2 linked regions of the Caenorhabditis elegans genome follow. The protein of the gene in region 1 interacts with the protein of each later gene in a pairwise test. Each region holds a gene or a part of one and is shown in the gene's direction. Other genes may lie near its edges.

Region 1 (11,939 bases):
TGTGAAAGAAAAATTCTTGAAAATTAGTTGAAAAAATAATAAAAAATTGCTTACTGTAAGCGCGCTCCAATGACAATTTTTGGCTGTAAGTGCGCTCCATTGACAACTTTTTGCGGCGGGAATTTTAATATTTGAATTTATTTCGAAAAAAAATATTATTTTCGAGCGATAAAGGTTAATTTTGTCAGGTTTTTATGCGAATTTTTCCCATTTTTCTAAAATTAAATTGAACTGGACCCTTTCTAAAGTTTTTTCTGTGAAAATAACGAAAAAGCACTCTGTAAATTCTTCAAATTGCTGCATTTTGTCTTTTAACAGTGTTTTTTTTTACCCAAAAATGCACTTTCCCACCCAAAATTCAACAATTTTAATCATATGCCTATGGAAATTTGACACCTATTCCTCCTCCTCCCTAAAAAACTTCCCAATTTCACCAGTCATCACGAGTTGCCGCGTTGTGTATTGAAATATTGGCTGACTCATTGTTTATTTTTTATTGATTTCTCATATTCTCTGCTCGCTCGCTTTTTTTGACACTTATCAACTGAAAAACCTTGCTGAAAATTCAGTTTTACTCTTTTTCTGGAATATTTTAAATTAAAAATTAACATTTTTTTCAGAGAAATGGCTCAGGTGAAAGCCGAGTATGATTTTCAAAGTCAACCAAACACAGGCGAACTGTCAATCTCGGCTGGCGAAGTTTTGACGGTTATTCGAGAGGTAAGAGGCTTTTTGAGCAGGTGGAACAGAGTTGTTCGAGGATTTTTTGAATCGTAAAATGAAACAATCGGCTAAATTAATTTTGAATTCCCGCGTGAATAAATCGGCGTTTTCCCGTTTTCTGGCGAAATTCATCTGTTTTTTCTTAATTTTTTGTTTAATTTTTGTTTTAAAACACTGATTATTCGTTTTTCAGGCATTTTTCCGAAGCGAAAACTCGATTCCTCGAACAAAATACGCAGAAACTTTAAATCTGGCCAAACGTTGATAATTTACATAATTTTGTCAAACAAAAAAAAACTGATAAATGGTGTAAATTCATTGGTTTTGTCAGATTTCCAGGCGTTTTTCCTGAAAATTTCTTATCAATATATGAAATTCCTGATTTTTAGGCCAATTTTCGTCCGGAGAACAAGTTTTCTCCGCGGAAAAATGTCTGAAAAACTGATAAATGGCGTTTTAATTCAAATATCTCTTTAAAAAAATAAGAAAAACGAAAGAATTTACCCAAAAATGGAAAAAAAATCACAAAAAGAATTTATTATTCGATCATTTCAGCCCATTTTTTTCTATAATTTAAAGCAAAATCAAGAGTTTTTATTTCAGAACATCGACGGAGGATGGATAGAAGGTCGAAACGTGCGTGGATCCGTCGGACTCTTTCCCGAATCCTACGTAACTCCCTATCAAGCTTCTCGTCCGCCACCGGTAACCCATTTGTCTTCTAGTTAACCCACTTTCTCATCTATTTCCGGTTTTGATTGTATTTTGTGTGTGTGTGTGTGTGTCTTCGTTGTGTGTCTTCGTTGTGTGCATTTCTGCGGGGAGCATCTAAATTGGTTGTGGTGAGCCAAAAGCATCAAAATGATTGAAATTGCCTTCTCATCAGCATTTTGAGCTGCTGGAACCCTCTAGAAATCGCTGAATCTGATGCTTGTTTCCGAAAAATATTCAAAACGGAGAGAAAGATGAGTAAAAGCCCATGAAATTTGAATAATAAAAAAGATGGTGGAAGAAGAACGCAACAAAGAGGAGTGAGATGAAGCGGAAGAGACTGGAACAAAATAGAAAAAAAAAGAAAGAAAAACTATTTTGAAATTGGTTTTTCCTCGGGTCCCTGGAGACGTTCGGATCCTCCTACTCACTTGAAGACGGCGGTCCAGATACTTGAAAACAAAATAAGTAGATTCTCAAAGAAGCTCTATATACCTGATTCGTCTTATATTCCACTCATTCTGCCAAGAGATTTCCTACTTTTTATCCGACTTTTCGATCTTTTCGCGAATGCTCTTCACATCGAGTCTTCGAAAGGCCGTTGAGAACTACCCAACACCACCGGGCGGCTCATCTGAAGATGCTCATCGGCAGCTTCTCGAACGTCGTCGCAAACAGATGCTTCGACGACACACGTGTAGTACACTCATCAAACAAGACACATCTGCTTCACCGCATAAGATGAAGCCACCTATTCTGATGGAGGAAGAGGATGAACAGCATTCCACTGGGAAGCACTCGTCTAGAAAGAGCAGTTTTAAGAAAAGTGGAGCAATATCGAAGAGTGTAGGGGTTTTGTGTAGAAGATAATCTTTTCGATTCTTTCCAAACCTCTCAGAAATTCCTCGAAATTCTGAGGCAAATTCATAGGTGCACGTGGTGTCAGAGTGTCTCATTTCGGTTTGACCTACGTAGATCTACAAAAAATGCGGGAGAAGAAACGCAGAGTTCTCCACTAATTTCGTATGGTTAAGAACGTGCTGACGTCACATATTTTTGGGCGAAAATGCCCGCATTTTTTGTAGATCAAACCGTAATGGGACAGCCTGGCACCACGTGTAGGTGCCAAACAGAGTAAATTTTGACAATTTGAAATTTACATTCGCTCACATGGTGCCAGGCCGTCCCATTACGGTCTGATCTACAAAAAAAATGCGGGAATTTTTTGCCCAACAATGTGACGTCAGCACGTTCTTTACAATTCAAAATCAGATGAGAACTCTGCGTCTCTTCTCCCGCATTTTTTTTGTAGATCAACGTAGATCAAACCGAAATGGGAAACTCTGACACCATGTGTTCGCTACCAAACTTAATGAGGTCGATCCTCAAATAGGACACCGCTGGAGACTCCACAAAAGCTCACAACAGATTTGTTTTGTTATTCTACAGTAATCCTACAGTACTCCTACCGTACCATATCACAAAATAGAGCTCTAGTAGTTGGTTACGGGTCTCACCACGCTGACAACAAGTTTCTGTTACTCGTGTCGATTTACAGTTGTCAGCGTGGCGAGACCCATTTTCTTGTGACGTATACGTAATAACTGTAGCTCCCAGAGTGCTCCATTCCGGCTTGATCTACGTTGATCTACAAAAAACGCGCGAATTGAGACGTAGAGTTATCCACTGATTTCGCACAGTACCATTTCGCTTTGATCTTCGAAAATGCGGGAGAAGAGACGCAGACATCTCATCTGATTTCGCATGGTTAAGAGCGTGCTGAAGTCACAATTTTTCTTGAAAAGTATCCCCGCATTTTTCGTAGATCAAACCGCAATGAGACAGCCTGACACCACGTGTGCACGGTTAAAAACGTGCTGACGTCACATTTTGTCGGGCAAAAAATCCCGCATTTTTTGTAGATCAATCCGTGATGGGACCACATGACACACAGATCCCATTTCAATTTTCTAACTTTTTAAACAATTTCATAAATACTCAAAAATTCCAGGTCCTACCACCACCACTCCCACCAACTTCAAGCGGTCCACCAGCTGCCTCATCGCGTCCTTTTGATGATTGGGGAGGCGCTTCAGAAGTTGCTGCTCCACCATCCTACGGAGCCCAACATCATCATCAGCCAACGCCATCTGTACCGGAAGTCACTAGATCTTCATATCCATCACAGAATGATGATTTTGACGATGAATGGACGGATGAGGATGATGAGCAGGTATTTTTAAAATTTTATTTTAATTTTTTGATTGTCCAGTTTCTGTCCGTCCTATTTATACCCTCTAACTCCTAAATCTATATATCCTAAAAGACCAAACGAAAAGTCCAAAAAGAATAGTCATCCTCCTCAAAAATCGCCGGGAAACGACATCGTTGTCGTCGCCGCCGCAACTTGGTTTCCGGTAGAAGTCGTCTCTCCACTCCGTCGCCGCTGGACCCTCTTCTCTTCGGACATTTCATTTCTAATCATTCGAAATTCTCTCTCTTCGTCGTCGGCTGCGACTATTTAAATGTCATCCAGATTTATTTGCTACTACTACAACAACTTCTGCTGCTGCTGAAATTTTCGCGAATGCTGTTTGCTCGTGGACGATCCTCGAGCTTTATCGCTCTAGATCATCTACAAGTTAATCAGTCGCCGTCGTTTCAAAATGTAAAGGACATTTTTATTTAACTGGGATTTTTTATTTAGAATTTTTTTAAGTTTATAGGTTTTATTAATTTTACTCCAACTAACTCTAGCATTCAAAGGTTTTTTCTTAATACACGTGAAGTCAGAAAGTCCCATTTCGCACTTTGATCTTCGAAAAATGCGGGAGGTGAGACGTAGACATTTCAACCAGGGGTGTGCGGCAAATTTGCCGAATTTGTCGAATTTGCCGTTTGCCGAGCTCGGCAAATTTCAAAAAAGTAGATTTGCCGAATTTGCCGAGCTCGGCAAATTTCGAAATTTGCCGCACACGTCAAAAATTTGACAGTACAATTTTGACTAAAACTATTGATTTTTTAGCCAAAAATTTAGTAAAATGATACAAAATTGAGCTATTTTGATGCTTAAACAGACATACTACGCGGAACTTATTCAGAAACCAGATGTGTGTTAAGAATTCAGTAGTTTTGGTGCTCCAAAAAACATAAAAAAAATATCAAATTTTTCCGAGTTTGTTAAGCACGGCGAGTTTGCCGAATTTGCCGAATTTGCCGAGCTCGGCAACTTTGCCGAATTTGCCGTGCTCGGCAAATATTGAAAAAAAGAGATTTTCCGAATTTGCCGAGCTCGGCAAATTTTGAGATTTGCCGCACACCCCTGATTTCAACTGATTTCGTTGATAGCGTGCTAACGTCGTAATTTTTCTGGGAGAAAATTCACGATTTTTTTGTAGATCAAACTGTATTGGGACACACCGCTCCACTGCAAATGAAAACTCTCCGCCCCCAATAAAATAGGTCTCGTTGGGTATTAAACGTGCTCAAAAAAATCATTAAAACAACGGAAAATTCTCAAAAATTGGCGAAACTGATACCTAACGCCAAATACACGGGGTGTCAGGCTGTCCCATAACGGTTTGATCTACAAGACGCGGGAATTTTTCGCCCAGAAAAATGCGACGTCAGCACGCTCTTAACCATACGAAATTTGCTGAAAAATCTGCGTCTAAATTCCCGCATTTTTTGTAGATCACGCCGAAGTGAGACACTTTGACACCAATACCTAACGAGACCTATGGTTCGGGGGCGGAGCACCTTTTCATGTCGGTTTCAAAATTAATACTACGCATACAATTAAAAAATCACCCTGAAAAACAAAAAAAAAACCCAAATTTTCTTCTCAAAAATAGGGATATCCCTTCTCAACTGCTCTTTGCAACACCCCGCGCTTTATATGTGCAAGCATCTCTCCTGATTGCTGCTATTGAGAATCCCCCAGCACTCTCCACCAGCTCATTTTTGCTCTGTCGCCACCCGACGCCTCTCGAAAACTATCATCATGTGTTGAGTCTTTTTTGGTGATCCTATTGGATATCCATACTCACATATATATATATATATGTATATATATATATATACATATATCCATATATATATATACATGCAAAAATGCGTCGACTGCGTCAATCGGACGCCGACGTCTTCTTCTATAACCGTCCTATTCCTATTACTGAAATTCGTGGATTTCATAGGGCGAGCGTCTCGTTCTCACCGTCGTGGGTTCGTTTTTAGATATTTTAGGGGAAACGTTCAGCGTTCTAGCACTTTTTGTAATCCGTTGATTAAGGAACACCGTCTGTCCGTCCATGATCAAGTTGTGAATTATCAAAACTCGATTCGTCATCATCATCATCGTGCAAGTGGGTCTCGAACGGATATGTCCACTGACGACGAGACGAGGAGTAGTCAGCAAGGTTATTAGAATAGTTCTTGTCGGCGAAGCATTCGGACATCTATTACACATTCGTTGGAAGGTTAGATATTGAAGAAGAGATGATGTTCCTCGCAACGAAAAAACGTGGAGCCACGTGGCTTCTCTGTTTCTCTCTTTTCGATCTCTCATTTCCCGCGAATGTGCAATTACAAGATTTTCAAAGCATAGTGGCTTTAACAACGCTCACACATCTCATTGCAGACGGTGCCTACCCCTCTAGCAAAAGAAACGGTAGTGTGGGCTCGTCTACCCGCTCCACGAGCACCAAAAAGCGCTTGAGTAGGCAAGATAGCACCGCCCGACGGAGACGTCTCAGTGAGGAGAGAGATAGTCGACGGAGAGTTGAGAAGTCGGTGAGCTCGTGTTTGAGCTCGAATCGGTCTCACCACGATCAGAATAAGGTTCGGGTTGTTCGATAAGTTGTTTCAAGTGGTGTCAGAAAGTCTCAATCAGGGCTGAGCAGTCGCCCAAAAAAATCGGCGATCGGCGATCGCCGATCGCCCAAACTTTTTTTTTTTCGGCGATCGGCGATCACCAATTTCCGAAAAATTTCGGCGATCGGCGATCACCAATTTCCGAAAAATTTCGGCGATCGCCGATTGCCGATCGCCGATCGGCTATTTTAACCGAGTTATTCGGTCAAAACACCTTTCCGTTTTTTTGTTTGGTAAGGAAATGCGACGAAAAATTAACATTTACTCAAAAAAAAAATTAAAAACAACAAAACAATCGTTTAAAAAAAACATGAGATTTTAAAAATCGAGATGAATTTATTGAAAAATTCCATCGGCGATCGGCGATCGCCGATCGCCGAAAAATCACGAAAATCGCCGATCACCGATCGCCGATTGCCGCTCACCCCTGGTCTCAATGCGGTCTGATCTACAAAAAATGCGGAAATTTTTCGCCCAAAAAAATTGTGACGTCAGCACACTCTTAACCATGCGAAATCAGATGTCTGCGTCTCACTTCCCGCATTTTTCGTAGATCAGAGCGAAGCGGGACTTTCTGACTCCACGTGTTGTTTGAGGCGTACGGGACTGCTCGTTGTTCTGATTGGCTTAAAGTATCAAGCTTCCTTAACTATTGAGGTTGTTATGTAACGCATGCATGTTTTCCTTATTTGTGTCCAAAAAGTTATAAAATAAAAAAAATCAAAAAATTCCGATTTCCAGGAACCAACTCGGCCCAACGTTCAATCCTCGATCGGCTCGAACTCCCGTCGTGACCTCAGCCGTAGCCACTCGGAACACGGTGGACCTGATCGAGGATCCAATAAGGTCAACAAGAACATCAATCGATTCTCGAATTTTGTAAAGTCCGGAGTCGAAGCGTACGTGATTGGTGAATCAAAGACCACCTCACAGATTAGTGAACGACATGAAGTTGTGATGAACAATGGAATTATTCAATGGAAACCGATTCAACAGTACTACACGTGTATAGTGGATAAACCGAAGAAAGAGTCAAAGCTGAAAGGGCTGAAGAGCTTCATCGCATATTCGATTACGTCGAGTTTGACTAATATTCAGGTAAATTTGTAGATTTCGACGCTTACTAACCGCTTGCTAGCGTCAGGTATCCCGTCGCTACAAGCATTTCGATTGGCTCCACGAGCAGCTATCGGCTAAATATGTGCTCATTCCGATTCCACCGTTGCCAGAGAAACAGGTCGCCGGAAGATACGAGGAGGATCTTATTGATCATCGGAAGCACATTCTTCAGTTATGGGTCAACAAGATTTGTAGGCATCCAGTGTTGAGTCAGTCGGAAGTTTGGCTCCACTTTATCAGTTGCACCGACGAAAAAGATTGGAAGAATGGGAAGCGGCGAGCTGAAAAGGATGAATACATTGGTGGAGCTTTCCTGAACTGTATCACTGTTCCACATCAACCATTGGATCCGAATAATGTGTAAGAAACTAATAGAATTCTACGCAGAAAGTTTGATAATCCTGCGTAATCCTACATGTTTCCAGCGATATGCAAGTTGAACGATTCCAACGGAGCGTCAAAACATCGGAAGAAGCGATGCGTGTGATGCAGGAGAGAATGAACATGTTCCAGAAGGTCTTCGCTGGACGTATGTTGGAAATTTTCGAGCTTTAAAAATTTAAATTAAAAAAATCAAATTTCAGCGGTAAAACAAAATTGGCAAAAGATGGGAAGCGCGTTCAAGACACTTCAGCAATCTTTTGAGATTGATGAGACCGTTGGTATGAATCTTTGGATTTTTAAAAGTTCTTGGATAAATTTAAAAATTCTAATTTTTCAGCCAGTCGCCGCCTGACAGAAGCTCTCGCCTACACTGCATCAGAATATCATGAAATTGGGCAAGTATTCGATGCGCACACGAAGAATGACATGGAACCAGTGCTTGAGAACCTTTATTCGTATAAGGGAACAGTGCAAAATGTGCCGGATATTATTCAAGTGCACAAGGTACTGAACAGAGGCCCTTATATCCTGAAGTGGAAGAGTTTTTGAGGGTTGGGAAACTCTGCCAGGACCGCGACGCAGCCGCGTGCGGAGCGGCTCGAATTAATGTTTATTTTAGACGTTTGCCAAGAATGCGTGATTTTCCTTCATTTTTTGGATTTTTTTTGCGTTTACATGGAGGTTGTCAAATTTTCGAATTATAACAAATCTAAAAATATTAAATTTTTAAGAAATAAATTGAAAATGTTCGTTTTTCCGTTTTTTCGAAAAATATCTTTAAATTTTAACAATTTCTTCTTTTTTTAAGGAAAAGTTTAAAAAATAAACAAAACTTGGTAAAAATAGATTTAAAAAACCTTTATTCTCTGAAAAAATCGAAAATTTTGAAGATTTAAATGAAAAATCACGCATTCTGGGCAAAAAATAAAATAAACTTTTCTCGATCGAGCCGCGCCGCTCGCACCTGCGTCGCGGTCATTAACCCCTCCCATTTCAAGATATGACAGAATCTGAAAGCCCGTGGCAAAAGCCTAAAAACATTCAAAACCCAACAATTTTCCAGCAAGCTGTTCAAAAGTTCCGTGACAGCGAAGGACGTCTCTCGTCGGCCGAGGCTGAAAAGATGAAGCAAAGAATCGATGCGATGAGCTACACTGTAATTGCTGAAGTTCAACATCAAACAGCAGAGAAAGTGGAGGATATGAAATCGACAATGGGCACATATTTGAAGAAACAAGCAATGTTTTATCAGGAAGTGGCGACCAAGCTGACTTCATTAGCCGCTAGATATGATTGATTTTTATTGATTTTTATTATTTGATTGCCTTTTTGTGTCAGAAATCGTTTTCCCCCCATAATTTCCCCCATCATTAAAATCGAGCTAGCTTCTTTTTTTTTGAGTCAAATTCCGAATGTTCATATATTTTCTTCCTACTTTCTAATCCATAATTTTTTGTGCAATTCTACTAAATTCCCGTGATTTCAACTCGCCACATTCTTTGTACCATATATGATGATTGCTTCGTTCACATTTGAAAAAAATCCCCTTTTTGAATATTTATTCGCCTGGTTTCCCCCGTTTTTCTAGTTGCATTATGAGTTGAAAAATCCTTTCAATTTTTTTTTTGAAAGTCTGAATGAATTGTGATGAATATGTACAAGCTAATTTTTTATGCAAAACATTTTAAAAAAACAAAATTAAATCCAAATATCCGATGTACAATCTCCACCGGGATAACGCATCTCGTGAGCCAAATAGGGACCTCCTTCAATTTTTCCAAAAAAAGAGATATACGTAAATCACGTTTAAAACTCAAATTTCGATGAAACTTAATATCAATTAATTACACGGAAATAATTTTTCAAAAAAGTGAACTTCAATGACCTTTAATTAGTACATCTTGATAAGGCTTGGTATATAAGCTTGTAGTTTTCGTCAAAACGATCAGTCTACAGTTTTTCGACGGAGGGTCTGCCGGTATGCTGCCATGATGTTGGACAATTCGAGGAGATGGTGGCAACGAGTGTGCAGCGAGTGGAGAAAATCGAGCATCGGAACAGTAGTTTCCTGCTCCGACTGACGGTGTGGGATGGAGCTGTATCTCCGACGTTTAACGGGTTCCGCCTTGATGAGCTTCCTGTGAAATGAAGCAAGACAAGTAAGTATTTTGTTTTCAATTCCGATACTAGAAAAACCCTAAAAATCTGTTGATAACAGTGGAACCTCTCGCCATTTTTTTGTATTGAATTTTTTATTACAGGAATCTTCCCCACCGACCTCCTAACACCTTGACAACGGACATCTCCCCAGGTTTCGACAAATTCAACCCGTCTGACAATGGTCCAAGTCGTGTGATTTTAAGAGGACCGGATATGCTGTTTGTAACCTGCAGCAATTTGGTATCAAGTACTTGGAACTGCAGTCGTTTGTTCGAGATTTAGAATGCAGCAATTTGGTATCAAGTACTTGGAACTGCAGTCGTTTGTTCGAGGTCTAGAAAACGAATTCGAGAGAAAAGAGATTGAGAAGAAAAACTCCGAATTTGGTACCAAAACAAGACTTGTAAGTTTATCTAACACCTAGAAGTTTGTGAATTGAAGATTATTTCAGGAAGAGCATTGGAAATATGAATTGGTTGCTGATATGGTCAAAGCGGAATTTGGACTGTATAGTGCAACAGGTGGAAGGGTGCTTGTTTGGCTGGAACAAATCCACGTTCAACCTCTGGAACTTTTGAGCACCGATGAACGCATTCGACGTCAATCGATTGGAGTAACGATGTAAGCTGAAGTTTGAGGATTTGAAAATGAACAGAAAGAAATGTGATGTTTTTAAAACTAGAACACCACGTTTCCAGTTTTTTTGTACTTTTAAAATTCCATTATTTTCAGATTATGGAATAACATATTGGTGATGATTCAGTGTGATGGAAACATCTTGCCCCAAAAGCACCAAGGTTTTTATCGATTTCATTGTGAGTTTCAACAGCGTTCACTTCACACGGCTGTTATTTTTTCTTAAAATCTCGTACAAATGATTTATTTAATAATTTATTAATTCAGGAGCATCTGATGTCGTTCATGGACGAAGGAAGTTGATGGATGATTTGGAAGGAGTGATCCGCAGCAGCTGAGAGGATCGTGGAGGACTTGTCGACAAACGAGCAGCAGCAGGAGGGAATGCGAGAAGGAGACAATTTTTAAAAGATAAGTTTGAAATTGCTTCAAAAATTTACCAGAAGTACGCAGAAACTGAAATTTATCATTTCTTTTCGATTCAAAATTTGCTTTCCTCCGCCCCATCAAAACACTGAAAAAAATTTTCAGAAGTTTTGTTGCACACTTAAATACAAAATATATTTTGGAATTCATTTAAAAATACAAATAAAATTTCTCGGCATTTAGTTCGAGTGATCAACTTTTCTGAGTTTTCATTTTTGAGATATTCAGAAAAGTTGTAGGTCATTTGAATTTATTGTCTTTCATTTTAAAAATTCATTTAAAAACAAAAATAAAATTTCTGGGCATTTAGTTCGAGTGATCATCTATTTTGAGATTTCATTTTTGAGATATTCAGAAAAGTTGTAGGTCATTTGAATTTATTGTCTTTCATTTTAAAAATTCATTTAAAAACAAAAATAAAATTTCTGGGCATTTAGTTCGAGTGATCATCTTTTTTGAGTTTTCATTTTTGAGATATTCAGAAAAGTTGTAGGTCATTTGAATTTATTGTCTTTCATTTTAAAAATTCATTTAAAAACAAAAATAAAATTTCTGGGCATTTAGTTCGAGTGATCATCTATTTTGAGATTTCATTTTTGAGATATTCAGAAAAGTTGTAGGTCATTTGAATTTATTGACTTTCATTTTAAAAATTCATTTAAAAACAAAAATAAAATTTCTGGGCATTTAGTTCGAGTGATCATCTATTTTGAGATTTCATTTTTGAGATATTCAGAAAAGTTGTAGGTCATTTGAATTTATTGTCTTTCATTTTAAAAATTCATTTAAAAACAAAAATAAAATTTCTGGGCATTTAGTTCGAGTAATCATCTTTTTTGAGATTTCATTTTTGAGATATTCAGAAAAGTTGTAGGTCATTTGAATTTATTGTCTTTCATTTTAAAAAT
Region 2 (10,649 bases), on another chromosome or scaffold:
TTAGACGACTACGGCGTCCCTCTGGATACAAGCCTCAGAACTTCCATGGAGTTTTCGTTTCCAGCGATTGCTTTTGACGTTTTTTTAGGATTCAAAATTTATTCTTATTCAAGAATAGCATCATTTGAAATTGAGTATATAAATCCAATTCAAACCAGTTTTGTTGAATTTCAAACTCTAAGTTGAGTCTTAAATGTATAAACATGAACTGCTCCTGGTATCCTTAACCAGAATGGATAGCGCGTTTAAAGGTGGAGTAGCGCCAGTGGGGATTTTGTCTAAATACACTTATACTGATCCAAAACAACCGAATATCATAATAAAACACTCCAAAAAATTTTAGATTTTTCAAAATATCCGGTCAAAGTTTAGGAAAATTGCCAAAATTTTGTAATTGTCACATTTTGACAGTAAATAAAAAATTTTCAAAATATTTTTGAAAAGTTTTATTGTGATATTCGGTTAGTTTGGCACCATAGAAGTAGTTTTTAACACTTTCCCCCGTGGCGCTACTCCACTTTTAAGTATAGATGACAGTTTGTTTTACAAGGATGTGAGAATACAAAAATTATTGTTAAGCACATTTCATGGCTCTATGAATGTGAATGTGGTTTTTATAACGCTTAATTTATAAAAATGTTGTCTTGCAGAGGTCTCTTCAAAATTTTTGATACTAACACACTTGTGAGCAGTGTTCTAGAACTCAATGGCACAGTTTTCAATAGATATTTGAAAATTTCCTATTGCATATTGTGTAAATTTAGCTTTGAAAATAATTGTATGTCGAAAAATATTTGTTTTTTCCAGTTTTTTTTCAGTCCAGCTATCCGTCCGTCACTATGCAATTTCAAATACTTTGTTAACAAAATATATATCTAGACACTGGTTAGATTTGGAACGAAAACAAAAACTTTCTTCTCTTCCTTTTCCTTTTGTCGTTTATTCTGTGAGTTTGGCTTAGCAAGCCTCCCGGACCACGACGTCGTCATCGGCGCCGTCAGTGCTCCGCGTTTTTTTTTGTGGAGCCAAGAGAAAGAGGGCAGAAAGAGCTTCAAACTGCGGTCGGGAGCTCTAACACACACGTCTTGCTTTTCTTCTTCTGCTTTTGCTCTCCCTGTGTGCGAGAATATGTACATACGCGAAAAATGTGCGCGCGGGGGGGGGGGGCCCCTGCCGAGTAGCAGTGCGCAGCACACATACATAGCAGAATATCGACTAATCGAAAACGCCTCCTTCCTTTTTCTTTTTTCCTTCTTTCTGCTTCGTTTTTCTTTCTTTTTCTTATTCTTATTCTTCGTTTTCCGTTTTTGTTTTCTTTTTCTTCCTTGATATTCTCCTCAGCCTGCTTTGCTCGCTATGGAGTGAAGGGACAACAAAAAACTCAGCTGTTATTTATTCCATGTTCTGTTTTGCTTTACAATTAAAAAAATCAATTGAGCTATTTTGCTAGATTTTCAATACTTTTAAACCATGTTTTATAAATGTTTTATAAATTTCAGAGCATATGAAATCATTGTACATCAACTGATTAGTCACAAATTCATTATCAGGAGTAGTATGGGAATGTTAAATTCGTTATTTGTTTACACACCGCTGGTTCTTAGTAAAATTTTCTAATAGGAAGTAACTGGAATTTGTTTGGAAACCTACAAATCTGTTAATTTCGGAATTAATATCCAAGTTTCCAAATTAGCAGAAATAAAATTTTGAAGTAATATCTGGTTGAAATGTTGTGTTTCTGCTATAAAACTTGAAAAGAAACCTTGAATCCTGCTAGAGAATCGCCTTTGGTCAGAAAATCGAACATCAGTTTTTACTGCAAGTGACAATTTTCAGGGAGTATTTGAAGCCGTTATTTTTAATCCCAACTTTTTAAATGAAAATGAGTATATTTTTCATATTTATGATATGCATATATATATGTTCAATCTATCTGTGTTAGAGCTTGATGATTATTTCGAATCGGGCGGGTTTAAAGATCTGCCAAAAAAATTTGCAGTACTACCCTGTCTTGAAAAAAAAAGAAGAAAAACTGTGATACAATTTAACAATCATGAACATACGACAATTCTCTACAAATTATAATATCATAATGAATTCCATATTTTGTTTAAACAAATTGGACTAAATGAATTTCCTCGTCTCTAATAAACAAATAGAACGTGGAAAAACCTTCTTACTAATCATGATTTCTGGTCACAATTGTGACTCGATATTTGCTAAGATGACGATTTTTCTTTTCTTCCTACGGTACTGATCGGACTGTTGTAAAAGTTTCACAATTTTGAAATATTTTATTTTATTTTTATTTTGCATAATTTCCAAAGGTCATCCATCTCATTTCCATTCTCAATAAAAAAAATTTTTAAAGTCTGCCTCTTTTTATTAAAGAAACGATGTTATTTGCTCACTAACTTCCATTCACACGTTTCCAGCGAGATAGCAGGTAAGTTGAGAGACGCAGGTGGTTAGACTACAAACAGAAGGGTGGCCGGCTGCCACCCTCTCCACACCACTATTTCACAACATTTACAATGAATTGATCTACCCGCCAAATTCTGGTTTTCGGCAATCCAAAACTGTTCGCTTTGTTTTCCACTTTTTCATTTTTCATTTCTCCTCCACTACTTATTTGGATTTTCTTTTTCAAATGTGTCCCGTTTAGTTTTTTTTTGCATCTAACAACCTTCTGTTTTTTTCCAATATTTTCATTAAACAAGCCTCCAAATTCTTCATAAAATTCCTCGTGAAAAGAAATTTCTTGTCGTGGTTACTGCTGACGCGTTTTGCGATGAGTGTGTGTTGGCACGCTCTCCGCCGTCGCTGGCCAAGCCTTTTTCTCTCCCCGCCGCAGTACTGACTGCGAGGCTGACTCACTGCGGTCATTTCGTTTGCCTCACCCTCACTTTTAGTCTCTGCATCTCCGAGTCTCTCCGCGCTTTTTTGTACGCCGATCGTTTCTTCTTCTTGTTTTCCAAACATTCAACACCGTTTTGCCGACAATGATTCTGAATATTTGTTGATTTTGTTTTTTCAAATGCGATTTGAGGATTTTTTTTTCTAATTTTATATTCTATATTCTTGAAGGTGATAAATTTCATTCTAAAACATAATTATTAAACCTCCGAAAACCTCATTGCGAAATCGTGCTTTTTCCATTAAATCTTCTCAATGCTCTTCCTCATATCATTAATCGACTAAAAAAATCGATTTTCAGGTAGTTCAGCGTATAACCACCAGGATCAGCCATGTCGTGGCAAAACCAGGGAATGCAGGCGTTGATCCCTGTGATCAATCGTGTCCAGGACGCCTTCTCCCAGCTGGGCACATCTGTCAGCTTCGAACTTCCACAGATCGCCGTCGTCGGAGGACAGTCCGCTGGAAAGTCGTCGGTGCTGGAGAATTTTGTCGGAAAGTGAGTCACAAGAAGAAAAAAAACATAACTTTGCGAAATAAAATCACAATTTTTTTCCTTTCCAGAGACTTCTTGCCACGTGGATCAGGAATCGTAACACGTCGTCCACTTATTTTGCAGCTTATTCAAGATCGCAATGAGTACGCCGAGTTCCTACACAAGAAGGGTCATCGCTTTGTGGATTTTGATGCAGTTCGGAAAGAGATTGAGGATGAGACTGATCGTGTCACTGGACAGAATAAGGGAATCAGTCCACATCCAATCAACTTGCGTGTCTTTTCTCCAAATGGTAAGCATTTAGAAACTCACAGAAACGCAAGTGCGCTGGATGATTTGAGCATCTGAAACCAGACTTATGCAACTTTTTTTAAAATTTAAATTGCATTAAAGATTTCATAAATTTACAGTGAGTTGCACAAAATCACTGGAAAAATTCACACATTTTAATTAATTCATACTTAATTTTTCAGTTCTAAATCTGACACTCATCGATTTGCCCGGTCTCACAAAAGTGCCCGTCGGAGATCAACCAGCAGATATTGAGCAACAGATCCGTGACATGATTCTCACATTCATCAACCGTGAGACTTGCCTCATTCTTGCCGTCACTCCGGCCAACAGCGATCTCGCCACTTCGGATGCGTTGAAACTTGCGAAGGAAGTCGATCCACAGGGTCTTCGCACGATTGGAGTCCTCACCAAACTTGACTTGATGGACGAGGGAACCGATGCTCGCGAGATCCTCGAGAACAAGCTGTTCACACTTCGTCGTGGCTACGTCGGAGTTGTCAATCGTGGGCAGAAGGATATTGTCGGTCGCAAGGATATTAGAGCTGCTTTGGACGCCGAGAGAAAGTTCTTCATCTCACACCCATCCTACCGACATATGGCTGATCGGTTGGGAACAAGCTACCTTCAACACACTCTTAATCAACAGCTCACCAATCATATCCGTGATACACTGCCAACACTTCGTGATAGTCTTCAAAAGAAGATGTTTGCTATGGAAAAGGATGTGGCCGAGTACAAGAACTACCAGCCAAATGATCCAGGCCGCAAGACCAAGGCTCTTTTGCAGTAAGTGATTTCAATGGAGGTGCTTTATTAACAAAATTTTTGCAGAATGGTTACCCAGTTCAATGCTGACATTGAGCGCTCCATTGAAGGTTCCTCTGCAAAGCTGGTTTCAACCAATGAGCTCAGTGGAGGAGCCCGTATCAATCGGCTTTTCCATGAGCGTTTCCCATTTGAGATTGTTAAAATGGAAATTGACGAGAAAGAAATGCGCAAAGAAATCCAGTATGCCATCAGAAACATTCACGGTATCCGCGTCGGTCTCTTCACTCCGGATATGGCGTTTGAGGCAATTGCCAAAAAGCAAATCACCCGTCTGAAGGAGCCATCGTTGAAATGCGTTGATCTGGTGGTCAACGAGTTGGCTAATGTGATCAGACAGTGCGCTGACACTATGGCTAGATATCCACGTCTTCGTGACGAGCTGGAAAGAATCGTCGTCTCGCATATGCGTGAACGTGAGCAAATTGCCAAGCAGCAAATTGGGCTCATTGTTGACTACGAACTCGCTTATATGAACACAAACCATGAGGATTTCATTGGATTCAGCAAGTAGGAGTTTAGACTTTGCTTTTAGATGTTTAATTTTATTTTTTTAGTGCTGAAGCAAAAGCCTCCCAAGGACAATCAGCGAAGAAGAATCTTGGAAACCAGGTGATCAGAAAGGGCTGGCTCTCACTGAGCAACGTATCGTTTGTGCGTGGCTCCAAGGACAATTGGTTTGTGCTCATGTCGGACAGTTTGAGTTGGTACAAAGATGATGAGGAGAAGGAGAAGAAGTACATGCTCCCATTGGATGGTGTCAAGCTGAAGGATATTGAGGGTGGATTTATGTCTCGTAACCACAAGTTTGCTCTGTTCTACCCCGACGGAAAGTGAGTTACTCAAGAATTTTGCGATTTGATTGCCATTTCAACATTCCAAGAGCCCGCACGCTTTTCTTTCCACATTAGAGTTTCATTAGGCAGAAACACAGGAACACTAAATTGAGCATGAGTTTTGAAACGAGACAAAAAACGCACACACACACAAAATCAATTTTTTTTGAATATTTGTTTAAATTAAATTAATTTGCAGGAGGTGAGTGTATAGTTTACTTTCTTCACTTCTTCTTCTTCTTTAATGACTTGTAAGACAGAAAAACCTTTGTGTTGTCGTCCTTGTGATCTGTTTTCATTTTTTTTACCCGAAAAGTTTATCCACCTTGAAACCAACACCTTTCACTTCTGTAGTCAATTTCTTATTTTTCCTGTTTCTCTTTCTCTGCTGTGACAGTTTCAGTTCAGACAAAAAAAAATACAGCATGCAAAATGCTTTTTAGATAAAAGATTCTGAACCAGCATGAAGATGTAAACTCATGTATCCTTGACCTCACGCACTTGCTTCTCCCATAACCCTTTGAATTCCAGGAACATCTACAAGGATTACAAGCAGCTTGAGTTGGGATGCACCAATTTGGACGAAATTGATGCGTGGAAGGCTTCATTCTTGCGTGCTGGTGTCTATCCAGAAAAGCAGAAGGCACAGGAAGATGAGTCCCAACAAGAGATGGAGGATACCTCGATTGATCCACAACTTGAGAGACAGGTGGAGACAATCCGTAATTTGGTTGATTCCTACATGAGAATCATTACCAAGACAATTAAGGACCTGGTTCCAAAGGCGGTGATGCATTTGATTGTTAACCAGGTGAGGGATTTTAAAAGAATTGAATGATTCATCGTGATATCATCACGGCCTGTTTTTTTAACCGTACACAATAAACCTTAAACTAAATATCTCAATAATTTCAGACAGGTGAGTTCATGAAAGATGAACTTTTGGCCCATCTCTACCAATGCGGCGACACTGATGCTCTCATGGAGGAATCTCAAATAGAAGCCCAGAAGCGCGAGGAGATGCTCCGAATGTACCATGCTTGCAAGGAGGCGCTCCGCATTATCTCTGAAGTCAACATGAGCACCCTTGGCGACCAGCCGCCGCCATTGCCGATGTCTGACTACCGCCCACACCCATCTGGACCTTCACCGGTGCCGCGTCCGGCTCCTGCTCCACCAGGCGGACGTCAGGCCCCAATGCCACCACGCGGAGGACCCGGTGCCCCACCACCACCAGGCATGAGACCACCACCAGGTGCGCCAGGAGGCGGCGGTGGCATGTACCCACCGTTGATTCCAACGTAAGTTTATGCCTATTTTTTTTCGAAAAGAGCACCAGATCTCTTCTAATCTTTCCTATTTTGGTCCGTCATACTCTTTCTTCTGTCAAAATTTTTTTTCTGAAATTTAGAAAAAAAAATACTGTCAACAAGTCAGAATAAAACCTAAAACTAACGTGTACCAACCACTCTAGGCGTCCGGGACCAGGCGGCCCACCACCCAACATGGCACCGCCTAGATAATAATGTTGTGAATAATTCCCCCACTGACCAAAGGTTTGTTAATCGCGAAGAAGCAGTACAGAGAAGTGTATAATTGTTTGTTGTAATCGTGATGTGTATTAGCAGCATCTATCTAGTGTTGTGATCCCTTGGCACTTTATCGGAACATTTTTATATTCCACTATCTTCCTGTGATTTTTTCTACAGAAAGAAGCAAAAGCTAACTTTTCTTTCTCATCAAATTTTTCATAATTTCGTCATTATTTGCATGTTTCAATGGTGGTCTAGCTTTCTGTTGTTGTAGTATTAATCTGAAACGTTGTTTTTTTTTTCAGAAGAGTACCGACACCATCCAACGGAGCACCAGAGATTCCAGCTCGCCCGCAAGTCCCCAAGAGACCTTTCTAAATGCTTTTACATCTCCATCCTAGCTCACTTGTCATACTATTACCGTTCCCATAGTAATTGTACAATGCCCCCGTTTTATCAAGCATTTCTTTTTTTTTTTTGAGAATTTTTAAATTAATCAATATCCCGAGTTCTTCCACCTTTTGAGCAAGTCTCGTTGAGGATTGCATTGGTCCCAGCGCTAACTAGGCGTCAATTCATCCACCTCTCCATTCTCTCTCCCGTTCCAACTGTGTTTTTCTTTGTCAGCGGCGAATTTTCCACAACCAATCGAGTCCTATTTCTCTTTTTTTCCCCCACCTCCCAATAATTTTATTTGCATGTTTTATAAACTCACTTTGTTCAATAATTTATTGATTTTATTTTTTCTATGATTTGAAACTTTACATTTTTCCTACTCTTCTATAGCAATACTTTGTCACTTACAATAACCCCCCCCCCCCAGTCTGCCTATATTTATTTAGATGTTCTTTATGGCCACCCAATGTATAAACTCTTTTAGTGCATTTGTAGGTTCTTTCTTCATCCCACCCAATTCCCCCTCCACCACAAATCCCAGTTTTGATTATTTTAAGCCCATATTTATAAGAAGTAAATATATTTATAGATTTTTCTTAGATTATAAGCTCTTCTAGGTTTTCCCTCGTTGAGAAGAATGATCTGAAAAAGCCTAAATTATAGATTTTTGAAACGTATTGTGTAGAATTTGTATTTATTCGTGAAAGTGGAATAAAGTTAAAACGGAAAAATGTAGTATTAGTTTTGTGCAAAACATTGGCCCTATAAATGTAGATGTAGGAAAGTCTGTTTATTCTTGGAAAAATCCCTAATTTTTGTGAAATTGTTTGGTTTGCAGCGGTCGGAAGCAATCTTGAAAATAATTATCATTTGTAATCACATTTTGGTAATTTATTACGTTTATTTTCTTCATTGATTGGTAGGTATATGTTTTCTTTCGAAAGATGAACAAATGATAGTGAATTGGTGCACCTATAAACGGAAAATATACCTTAAACAATTAATGGTTAAAAAATCCACAATGAAGAAAAGATATTAGAAAATTCCGGTTGCTAAGACATTGAAAAAAACTTGAAAAAAGACTTTGAAAACTTGACAAAATTTGGCACTTTTGAAAAGAACCCATTTAAAACTTAAAGCATGTACTAAAACGAGAACTTTATTTGAAAATTATTATATGTGTATTGCTGCGCTTGTACATTTAAAAAAAGGAACCTTTTCAATTGATACTTAAAACAAATAGAAGTTTTTTAATCCATATCCTCAAGCTTCGCAGATAAACCCTCAATATGCCAAACTCTAATAAGTAGCAATGTAACATGTTTTTGGCGCTGGTGAGTAGGTACTAAAAATTTAATAAATGTTTCCGATTTAAAATTTTAGATCTCGTCAGAATCGTTGTCAACGCAGAACTACAATTCTGGCATACTTTTGTTATAACGATATCAAATACCAAAGAACTCGTCGAAATTGCATACTTGTTGATGGAACCATCCGTTCAACTGAACGCCAGCCAGTTTATTACTTAAATGAAAACTAATTTTTCAATTGATGACGGTTAGTGACTTTAGGTTTCATTTGATCAGCGTAGTTGCTGACACTTAATGGTTCGGGAACATAAAAGAACATGTCGAACACGTACATGACGACTGCTTAAAAGTTGAAAATTTCCCATATCCGTTTCTCATTTTATGTAGTCTCTTTCAGTGTGGCTACTAACGATTTTGCAATTTTACATTATACTTTGTTTGTGAGTTTCAGGAAACTTGTGAATTCGTTCAAACCCTTCAGAATCAGAATAAAAAATGGTGCTTTGTATTTCTTAAATTTTAATAACTTTTTCACGAGCACTACATTTTAAAATTTTGTAGAAGTTGTCTGTTTGCACCCATTTAATTTCAAATGTGTCATAAGTCAACAACTGGCACGTTGAGTATACATAGAAAAGAATGATTTTACCTTTTAATATTTTTTTTGTTATAAAAGCTTGCAACATTTTTATTACCTCTATGGATAAAAAACGAAGGCTAGGAGAAAGAATCTAAAAACTCGGATTAGTTTTTGGATACAAAACAGAAGATTAGAATATTTCCCTTCACGAATTTTGAGGGTAAAACAATTTTACCGAAGTTTTCAAAGGTTTTTGTTCAAGATTCCATTCATTTTTTTTGAAATACTTCATACACGTGGTGTCAGGTTGTTACGGTTTGACTTACAAATTTTGCCCAAAAAATGAGACGTCAGCACGTTTTTAGCCATTTAAATCAGTTAAGAACTCTGTGTCTCAACTCCCGCATTTTTTGTAGATATTTGTAGATCAAACCGAAATGAGACACTCTGACACCACGAGTTCATATTGTGAAACTCTCTTGAATACTTATCACTGTGCCAACCCATGTCACACTTTTAAATACATTGAACAGTATAAAAAACTCAGGTCAAAAGTAACATTTGATTGATCCCCCCCATTTCCTTCTGAACTTTGCTTCTCCTGTTTTTGCGTCGTTTCGCCATCATCATTAAAGTGACTCTTGGACTTGAGACTCTAGTTGCTTATCGATTGGTGATTGAAAAAGTAGGAGAAACGAATCTTTTCATCTACTCCTCTTCTGCACCCGCCTTCTCTTCCTCTTCTTCATCCAGCAGTGCCATTTCTCTTCGGCAGCAAGAATGGTGTGTAAAGTGATGACGGCGCAGTTTCTTCTGGCACAGGAGTAGCACAGCACAACCTCAGCAGTAGTTGGAGCAACCCAGCAGCAGCATATTTTCGATACTCATCGAGCACTTGCCGTTGTGTTGTGTCATCCGCCAACAAATCAGCAAACAACGTTTTTTATCCCGATCATTATTTTTTTTCCTCGCTCTGGGTTGGACTTGTCTATGTTTCAATTTTTATTACAAAAATAATGGAAGAAAAACATTTGTTTGAAAATTTTAATCCCTACTTTAAAGTTATATTATATATAGAAAATAAGTCTAAAAAATGTTTTATTATTTTTTTAAATTTTATTTAAAATTTTGAAAAAAATTTCGTATGGCTGATGTCCCAGACCCATCATTTTTTGTAGTTTTCTGTTTTTCTGAAAATTTAAATGACCTTCTCCGGTTTTTCTAAGATGACGTCACATTTCAAAAACCCATTGAAACTAATTTTCAGAAAACGGAAAACTCAATAAAACTAAGCGTGAAATGGAAAAAAAATCATTTAAAAAGTTAGAAAAATTTAAAAAAAAGATTTCAATTCTACTCGGCCATTGCGATGAATTTTTTATCAATTAACGCTAAATCTGTAAAAATTAGATTAAAAACCAAATAATAAAGAAACATACAAGGAATTTCAATTTTAAAAATTGT

Evidence for each region.
Region 2: the proteins of lst-4 (region 1) and dyn-1 interact in a two-hybrid assay, tested with the Caenorhabditis elegans proteins (2 studies listed by BioGRID).

The regions. Positions count from the first base shown.
Region 1 is NC_003282.8:14,058,536-14,070,474, reverse strand, and holds lst-4 (Sorting nexin lst-4), read left to right. Parts: upstream 1-2,004; coding exon 2,005-2,280; intron 2,281-3,445; coding exon 3,446-3,667; coding exon of another isoform or gene 3,668-3,742; intron 3,743-5,812; exon of another isoform or gene 5,813-5,815; coding exon of another isoform or gene 5,816-5,852; intron 5,853-6,073; coding exon of another isoform or gene 6,074-6,273; intron 6,274-7,047; coding exon 7,048-7,404; intron 7,405-7,444; coding exon 7,445-7,785; intron 7,786-7,850; coding exon 7,851-7,954; intron 7,955-8,009; coding exon 8,010-8,087; intron 8,088-8,146; coding exon 8,147-8,313; intron 8,314-8,872; coding exon 8,873-9,106; 3' UTR 9,107-9,470; downstream 9,471-11,939. Other genes in the region: Y37A1B.4 (Transposase), read left to right, coding at 10,253-10,372, 10,421-10,590, 10,702-10,784, 10,873-10,874. UniProt on the Caenorhabditis elegans protein: Involved in the signaling of vulval development by acting as a negative regulator of epidermal growth factor receptor (EGFR) signaling. Aids in phagosomal membrane tubule formation which is required for phagosomal fusion with endosomes and lysosomes.
Region 2 is NC_003284.9:15,565,673-15,576,321, forward strand, and holds dyn-1 (Dynamin), read left to right. Parts: upstream 1-3,248; coding exon 3,249-3,415; intron 3,416-3,480; coding exon 3,481-3,704; intron 3,705-3,885; coding exon 3,886-4,492; intron 4,493-4,537; coding exon 4,538-5,041; intron 5,042-5,088; coding exon 5,089-5,364; intron 5,365-5,898; coding exon 5,899-6,178; intron 6,179-6,282; coding exon 6,283-6,668; intron 6,669-6,841; coding exon of another isoform or gene 6,842-6,890; exon of another isoform or gene 6,891-6,923; intron 6,924-7,204; coding exon 7,205-7,277; downstream 7,278-10,649.